Linked DNA regions of Daphnia pulex. The protein of the gene in region 2 interacts with the protein of the main gene of each other region in a pairwise test. Links are inferred from orthologs where the notes say so. Each region holds a gene or a part of one and is shown on either strand. Other genes may lie near its edges.

Region 1 (4,257 bases), on a different chromosome or scaffold from region 2:
TACACCAGTCCAAAGTACTGTAGGTTTTGAACGGATTTCCAACACCAAACTTAGTTCGACCGGCCTTTCACTAAAAATTATGAATAAACGTATAGTTCATGATAAAGAATTGTAAAATGAACCAATTTATTTAGTTGATAAGTTTCCCTCATGTATCAAAGAGCTCCATTTACCTGGTGTTCGTTATTTTGCAGACAAAGTTAATTGGCCGATGGAGTTTTACTGGATTAGGTAGCTCTTGGATTGTCAGGCGTACATCACCGTAATTGGGGACCTGTATAAGAATAAAGGGGACCATTTTTACGGTTTAAGATTTAGACTGACGAATTTACTAAAAAGCTTTCCAATCAAGCAAAACTCTCATTCCAACTTAGCAAAACTACTCAAACTAAAAACAGCATTTTTTTTTTTTTTTTTTTTTTTTTTTTTTTTTTTACCATTCGTTGTAGCTGACTGGTTTGCAATCGTCCACGGTCTCCTATAGCAGTTCTCCAAATTAAGTCAAGTTTCCCAATATTGCTCTCTCCTCTCAACATTCTGTGGTTATCACGTACATTCTGCTTTGGCTGTGATCAATAAGAATGAATTTGCCATTAATAACCAATTTAACGGAGAAATTTAAGATTACTATTTCTTAACGTTCTTACCTTTAGACAGTGAAGGTATTGGCGGATTTCACCCGGTTGAACCACATTTACACATTTTCCGAAGAGCTGTGGCATATTGGACCAAGGAGTGCCAGTGGTCGTTGATATTTCATTAAGCGATGAAACTAATTCAGAGAACAATTAAAATTGCTTAAACGGTTAAATGAAGAAGCTCAATGGTGGCTGCAGACCTTCAAACAGAGTAGAAGGTTCCATTGTGACTTTATCTAAGCAAAGTGGTCGGTCGACAGTCGTGTTTTGAATTTGGGCTTCTAAGTACACATCGTCGGACTAAATTTAATTGAAGCTGAAATAAGTGGTTGAGCTATATTCATAAGGCCATACAAATTTATATTGATAAAAATGTCAAGTTAATGTCACAACTAGCTCTAATTTCGGATTCCACTCCCTTAAAAACGATTGAGATATTTTACTACAAGATGGTTAAAAGCAGTTGATAACCAAGACGAAGTATTAAGAAATTCTTTATAATTTCTCCTATGACACAAACAACACAAGTCTTACGTAATAGTCCTGTGAAAGGTGAATCCCGATAGCCGTCCAAAGTGAAGTAAAAAAATGGACATGCAGCAGTTAATTTATCATTTGGTAGAAAAAAGGACGCATGCAAGGAATGAAGAGTTGTTTGAGTTGAAAAAAGGAAAACAAATTAAAGATCAAGAAAATCGCTTATCCAGTCCATGAATTAAGTTTGAGCAGGGTAAATCACAACCGGTATTGTGGAAATTACTGATAAATATATATATAGTTATATTTCTATATAGGTTGTTTTTTCTTTACAGTGTAGGGATTCCAAATGGAAACCTTCAAAACTTATGGCGCCATCTCATGAATTACGGAAGCTTATTCAATTCGTATTGATGAATTCTACTGGAAAGATTTCGAGGAAAAAACCAACAAAAAAAAAAAAAGGAACCGCGCATTCGATTAAAAGTTTGAAACCACCTTGACCCACAAATATGTTTTATATGTTAATCGGGGTAATTATTAATTTTTCCAAAAATACGAATTGAATAAGCATATAGTGGCGGTCAAATATACTGTGAGATGGTCGTCACAGATTTTTGTCGCTTTCATATGGAATCCCCTATGCGCATAGTTTTGTTTTATGTGTTAAAACTCGTAATTTTTACAATTATTAAATATGAAAAGTTGATCAGTAGTATGTAGTCTAAGTACAAGTATAGGAAGTAGAACTTACCTCTGCATTGTAGAACTTAGTTTTTACATCTAGAGGTTTAAGAACCTGTTTTGGAAGATTTTATGTGAGTCTTAGTAGATATCACATATTTAAATATCTTTACTTGAAATTTGTAGTAGCGAGAAGATGTCATCTGTTCACCTGCACCAATTTGATAGGATACTTCACAAACTAAACTGCAAATTAATTCAAATCAAGAACAAAAAAAACTAAGATGAAAAAAGATAAATATTGATAACATACATGTGTGTTCCAATTTCTGTTATTTCATGACTTAGGATATCATCAGTTGATTGCTGAGGTTCAAGCTGGTTAATTGACACTTTATTACGTTTTGTTAATGGAAGCCTTTGTGCAGCTGTCTGGAGATCTGCCTGCAAATTACAAGTATCTTTACTAAAAACTGTTTATGAAATTACCAAACTTTGCAAACCTTGATGGATATATTTGAAACCAAGCAAGAGCCCACATTCTGAACACGAAGGTAACTTTGAAAAGTTTCACCTAAGTATATAGTACTGGAAAACAAACAAATTTAGTATAATTTAGTTCTAAACAATTAAGATTCATTTTTAAACCCAAAGCTTTGAGGTAGAAGTAATCCAAATTTAGGAGAAAAGGTCTTATCCAGAGTTTGATCAGCATCTTCTATTAAAACATTATTTTCTTCTTGGGATAGAATTGTGCTGACCAAATCCCAAGGTTCTGGATGGAAAAGCCCAGGTTGTGTAAAAACTGGACGTGACAACCTCATCACTTAAAATTAAATGATTGCAGAATCGTTTACAAAATGTTTGACGAGAAGTTAGATTTTAAATATTGAATACGAAATACCTTTGATCGACAGAATCTGATCGGCTTTAGTTTCCATGGCACGTAGATAATGGAAACTTATTAAATTTAAAACACAAGGAAATTGTCCACAGCCCACACAGGCGACACAGCGCAGCAATATTTAAAAGGAATAACTGCTGTTATTTTTTATTTTTAACGGAAGCCGAATGTTTTCTAAAGAGTAAAGACGATTTCACTTCCCTTCCTCTATTTATTAGGCCCCGTTGCCCGTTCTCAAGACTACAGTAACTCCACGAAGCCACATCACTCCGGCAGTCAGCAGTCTGGCCTAATTATCGTCGCGGCAGCAGAGCCATTGGCGGCAGTAGTAGGAAATTTGGAATTCGAAAACTTGATCTTATTGATTTTATTTTTCAATCAATTCATTTTTTTTCAAGAGATTGGAAATGAGAAAGAATGAAAAAAGTCTACTTAACATAGGCCAAAAAAGGAGGTTTAACCAGAGCTATAGAATATAGTATTGAATAGTGAATACTAGTATAGAATGCTATAGAATACTATTATTCTATAGCTCTGGTTAGCTGATTAGATTAGCCTTCCATCTCCCTACTCCCCAAAAATAGTAATTTGTTCTGGTTCATCAATAATCATAAACCATGAGAAAAATACGAATTTTTTTATGTTAATTGTTTCGACAACTAGATGGCTTTACTTGAAGAAAATGTGAGCAAATTTGGTTTCACTTTTCCAACACAGGAGCTGACAGGAGTGACGAGTGAATGGAGCTGACTGGAGGTATAGCAAGTAGCGCGGCCCTTTAAACTAGTACGCCATATTTGTCATTGACCTCCTAGGTTACATAGTATAACAACAACAACAAAAAATCGGAAAGAAAAAATCCAATTAAATTAAATTATTTTAATTTAGATTTCTGATACATGAAAATTGAGCTGTACTGGGGTAAACAAAATGAATGACAAGGAGAACTTTTCTATAGTTGAATATTTTGGAAATGACAAGGGACACAAGTGTGGTTATTGCAAAGGCTCCAATTCAAACCTCAGCCACGGTAAAGAATATTAAGTATAATTGTAAGCTTAAATTTAACTAACTTAAATTTCAATGACTTTGCAAAGGCATGTGGGCTCATACAATGAATATTCAAGATTATGAAAATCTAATTAACCGTGGTTGGAGAAGGAGTGGTACTAAGATTTTAAAAGTTTAAAACATTTAAATTTTCCAACTAAAATATATCTACCCTTCAGGACATTATTGTTATAAACCAATGATGAAAGATACATGCTGTCCACAGTATACAATTCGATGCAATGCAAAAGACTTTCAAATGAATCCCTCTCATAAAAAAGTTTTGAAAAAAGTAAGAAATTATCTTTCTAAAGAAACAAATTTCAACACCAAACCTGAAGAGTCTTCTATAACTGACCACAATGATTGTGCATCAGAATCATTAACAATGATAAGATCCCATGAGCAGCACCATGCCTCACCACCAAACAAAAGTGAAGTCTTAATTTTATCAAAGCTCAGTAAAGAAAAGCCAGGTTCAACAACTATATTAAAATGCAATCC
Region 2 (3,571 bases):
CATCGGCAGATCTTTTGACCCTTACTGTTTTTAGGAGAAAAACACTGTTCTTTTAATAGGAATAGTAAAGAAAATTGGAACTTGATTAAATCCGCATCAAGGTGTGTGTACACATCGCTTAACGTCAATATGTATATCACAACTGTAGTAACTCACCAAGAAGACATTCTTTTCAAATCTCAACTGTACAAATACAATACTCCTTTTTGTTTGTCTACATAACCTGGGCGTCTACTGCGTATGCTCTTCATCAATATACGGTACAACACTACCCGTGAATCAAAATCAATACACATTATCTCACTTCTAAACTCTTCCTCCCATTCTACTCAACTAGGGTGACCTGTTACAATAAATAAAGTCTTTTCTCATTTAACATTTTCAATGAATTTTTATCCCAAACGATCCAAACTGTGTCTCTAATCGATGTGATTCTGTCGTAGATTTAAATAAACATTTAATTAAAACGAAACAAGCTAATCCCATGAATATTCATTGACACTCGTTGATCCATCATTTCGGATGCTGATTTTCGTTAACGCCATCTCCAAGACTCCAACGTTCGTTAAATGATTCTTCAATAAGTGTTTTAAAATCACCGGCATCTTTATCGGATTCTTTTTTCGCTTTCACTACTAGACCATCTCTGAATACACAAATAATGAATAGCTCAACAATTAGACGCGTAAATTTTACGAAACGAATTGGACGACGTTGTAGGATAACACTTTGTGTTTAGGCCATTGTTTATTTGTTGGTACGTGACGCAGCATCACAAATTTGCTGAGTTTTCAAATAGTTACTTCTTCTGCTTTTTCTTTTCTGCTTCTTCCTCCTTCTCTTTCTCAACAGCGGCGACATGCTTTTCTATCTCGTCAACTTCCAGCATCTTCATTGGTTGGCCACGTCTCATAATCGCCAATTCCAGATTCTTACTTCCTGATTGTACCACTTCCAGAAGAGCACGGATTGCTAGTTTGATAACTTTTTCTTCATCTTCCATCTCCTCGACGTTATAGTTCTTTTCTAGAAACTCACGAACTGTTTTCGCGTTACGGCCTGTGGCATTGGCCTGAAATTCCACGTTATTAATTGCTGAAATGCAAATCAATTGAAAAGTCTTTAGCTCACCTTCCATTCGTGGTATGTTCCAGAAGGGTCAGTTTGATATAAATGAGGAGTGCCATCAAAATCAAATCCAGCAAGCAAACAAGAGATCCCAAATGGGCGTCTTCCATTACTCTGTGTATATCTCTGTTTCAAGCCTATTAGAATAAATAATAAATCGCACATGAAAAACAAACAAAAAACATTTGCGTAAATGAAGGGTAATAAATAATCCTTAAAAAAACAAGACATTTGTCCACAAAACTTAGCAGTTTAATTATCAGTGAAAAAATAATACCTGCTATGTATCTTGTTATGTACTCCAAGGTTACTGGATCTTCCACTGTCAGTTTATGGGACTGACATTCTATTCTGGCTCTGTTGATCAAAATTCGGGCATCTGCTGTCAGCCCTGCAAATGCCATCACCACATGATCATCAAGGAGGCATATTTTTCGGACAGTCCTTTCTTCTTGTAGCTTGGCAACAGACTTTTTCTCGACTCCCAAGATTACTAAATTCTTGCCTCTTACACCAACCTAAACAAAGTTAAAATATACACGAAAGTAATCATTAGTCGGTGTCGACTGCCACTATCGTAGAAATTTACTTACAGCAGTGGATCCTTTCTTGACAGCTTCTTGAGCATATTCGACCTGAAAGAGATGCCCATCTGGTGAAAATACTGTAATGGCGCGATCGTAACGTGCTGAACCCATTATTAGTCTATTTGATAAGTACTGGTGAGCTTTCAATCAAGTTTCTCACTTCAGTTAAAGAGCAGAAAATTTTGCGTCAAAAAATTTGCCGAGTCAAGCAGCTCGCCGAACAACGTTAACAAATCTATTAAAAAATGTAAAAACAAAAAAATTATCTCATAAGTTCGAACTCATTAATAAATTTTTGTTTCCCCTTCAACCACAGTGGATTAGATTTTACTATAAAATAATTATAAGACTTTATTTTTAAATTCGGAAATCGTCGATCGCTTTTTCTTTTTTGATGTGTAATGTTCCAGATAATTATAGATCAAGCACCGCCAAATGAAGTAAATGGTTCTCATGCGGCAAAGTTCAAAAGCTTGGAGTGATTTTCGTACTAAATACAATTTTGGACATCAATTCACATGCAACCATTTGAATAAAAATAATCGTGATATTATATGGAACAGAGAACACTAGAATACTACTTTCATGTGATTTTCACTTATATATTTCAATAGGTCCAATTTTGTGCTTTGGTACTATAACAAAAGATGGCGCGCAATGCAAGTGACAGCCATCACAGGCAACCTACAGTTATCTATGTGTGCAGACAGTCGATAAGTTGTCAAAAAATGGAGTTCGCAACGAGATTGTTTTTATTGTGTATTTATAGTGTTACTGTTTTAGAAACTTATGGCTACCAAATATGTAAGTCCACTGTTTTTTTTTTCAAACGTTAACATTATCTCCTTAAATATAATGGTGCGTTTCATTATAACCAATTTCGACAACGCCCTTAGCCCTTAGGTTTGACTCACTGATGTCACAATAATAATGGCCCTTATTGTTTTCCGTTTTAGATTATTTAGAAGATGCAAATGTCTGTTCCTCGGCCAAAAGGACTATTAAAATGAATTCAAGGAGTACTGCACTCTTGATACAACTTTCAAAGTACCCTCATGTTACTGAGTTAGCGATTGACTGCCATCTAGAAATAGAAGCACCAAAAAATCAGGGTTTGCAAGTTGTTGTTGAAGACATTAATCTTAGGAGAAATCCTTTGGATAATGAGTGTGATGACTATGTCTGGGTAAGTCCTATAAACTTTAAATAAATTGTTTTGGATTTTTTTTCATGACACCCTTAATTGTAGTTTGGCAGAGATGATGATGGCTACCTCAGCAAAAAGTTGTGTGGAGAAAGAAAACTGGTTCCCATCTATGATTATACCAGTGAACGTCCATCAGAATCCAATGATGAAGAAGTTCTCCACAATTATGTGGAATCACTTATTCCTGAAGGACCAGAAGCAACAACATTTTATGACCCTGGTGGAGAGTTGCACATATGGTTTAGAAAAACCAGCAGGAAAGTGGATCAAAATCTTCAACCCCTACGACTTAAAGTAGTTGTAACTTCTTACAGACAGAGTAATATAAACACCTCATTTATATTCTATGATGCCAGTAATAAATATTGACTTTAAAAAACAGCTTGCAAAACAAATGACACTGCTTACTGGCCATGTATACCCAGTGTTGACAAGTCAACCAAGATGCAAGAAAAATGCATCCCATCCAATTTGAAATGTGATGGACACGTCAATTGTGGAGCAGGACTTTTTTCGGATGAAACGGGATGTGCTGTCGCAACATCGAGCAATAGTAAGAATCGCATATGTAAACTCAAATCCGTTAAATTTACCAACATATTCCTTTAAAAGTTTCAAACAACGCCATCAGCACAGCGTCGCTCGTCAT

Evidence for each region.
Region 1: the proteins of proteasome subunit alpha type-7-like (region 2) and trafficking protein particle complex subunit 13-like interact in a two-hybrid assay, tested with the Caenorhabditis elegans proteins (3 studies listed by BioGRID). The link is inferred for Daphnia pulex from reciprocal best matches to the Caenorhabditis elegans genes pas-4 and C56C10.7.

Annotation. Positions count from the first base shown.
Region 1 is NC_060019.1:5,173,936-5,178,192, reverse strand, and holds the start of trafficking protein particle complex subunit 13-like, read right to left. Parts: upstream 2,977-4,257; 5' UTR 2,741-2,976; coding exon 2,704-2,740; intron 2,626-2,703; coding exon 2,448-2,625; intron 2,388-2,447; coding exon 2,303-2,387; intron 2,244-2,302; coding exon 2,113-2,243; intron 2,046-2,112; coding exon 1,973-2,045; intron 1,915-1,972; coding exon 1,870-1,914; intron 1,182-1,869; coding exon 1,173-1,181; intron 939-1,172; coding exon 839-938; intron 773-838; coding exon 648-772; intron 567-647; coding exon 438-566; intron 275-437; coding exon 174-274; intron 71-173; coding exon 1-70. Other genes in the region: arginyl-tRNA--protein transferase 1-like, read left to right, coding at 3,634-3,733, 3,801-3,869, 3,933-4,257.
Region 2 is NC_060020.1:7,377,568-7,381,138, forward strand, and holds proteasome subunit alpha type-7-like, read right to left. Parts: upstream 2,123-3,571; 5' UTR 1,827-2,122; coding exon 1,722-1,826; intron 1,647-1,721; coding exon 1,406-1,646; intron 1,266-1,405; coding exon 1,132-1,265; intron 1,073-1,131; coding exon 800-1,072; 3' UTR 729-799; downstream 1-728. Other genes in the region: uncharacterized protein LOC124192310, read left to right, coding at 2,444-2,519, 2,672-2,901, 2,965-3,241, 3,305-3,475, 3,535-3,571. UniProt on the Caenorhabditis elegans protein: The proteasome is a multicatalytic proteinase complex which is characterized by its ability to cleave peptides with Arg, Phe, Tyr, Leu, and Glu adjacent to the leaving group at neutral or slightly basic pH.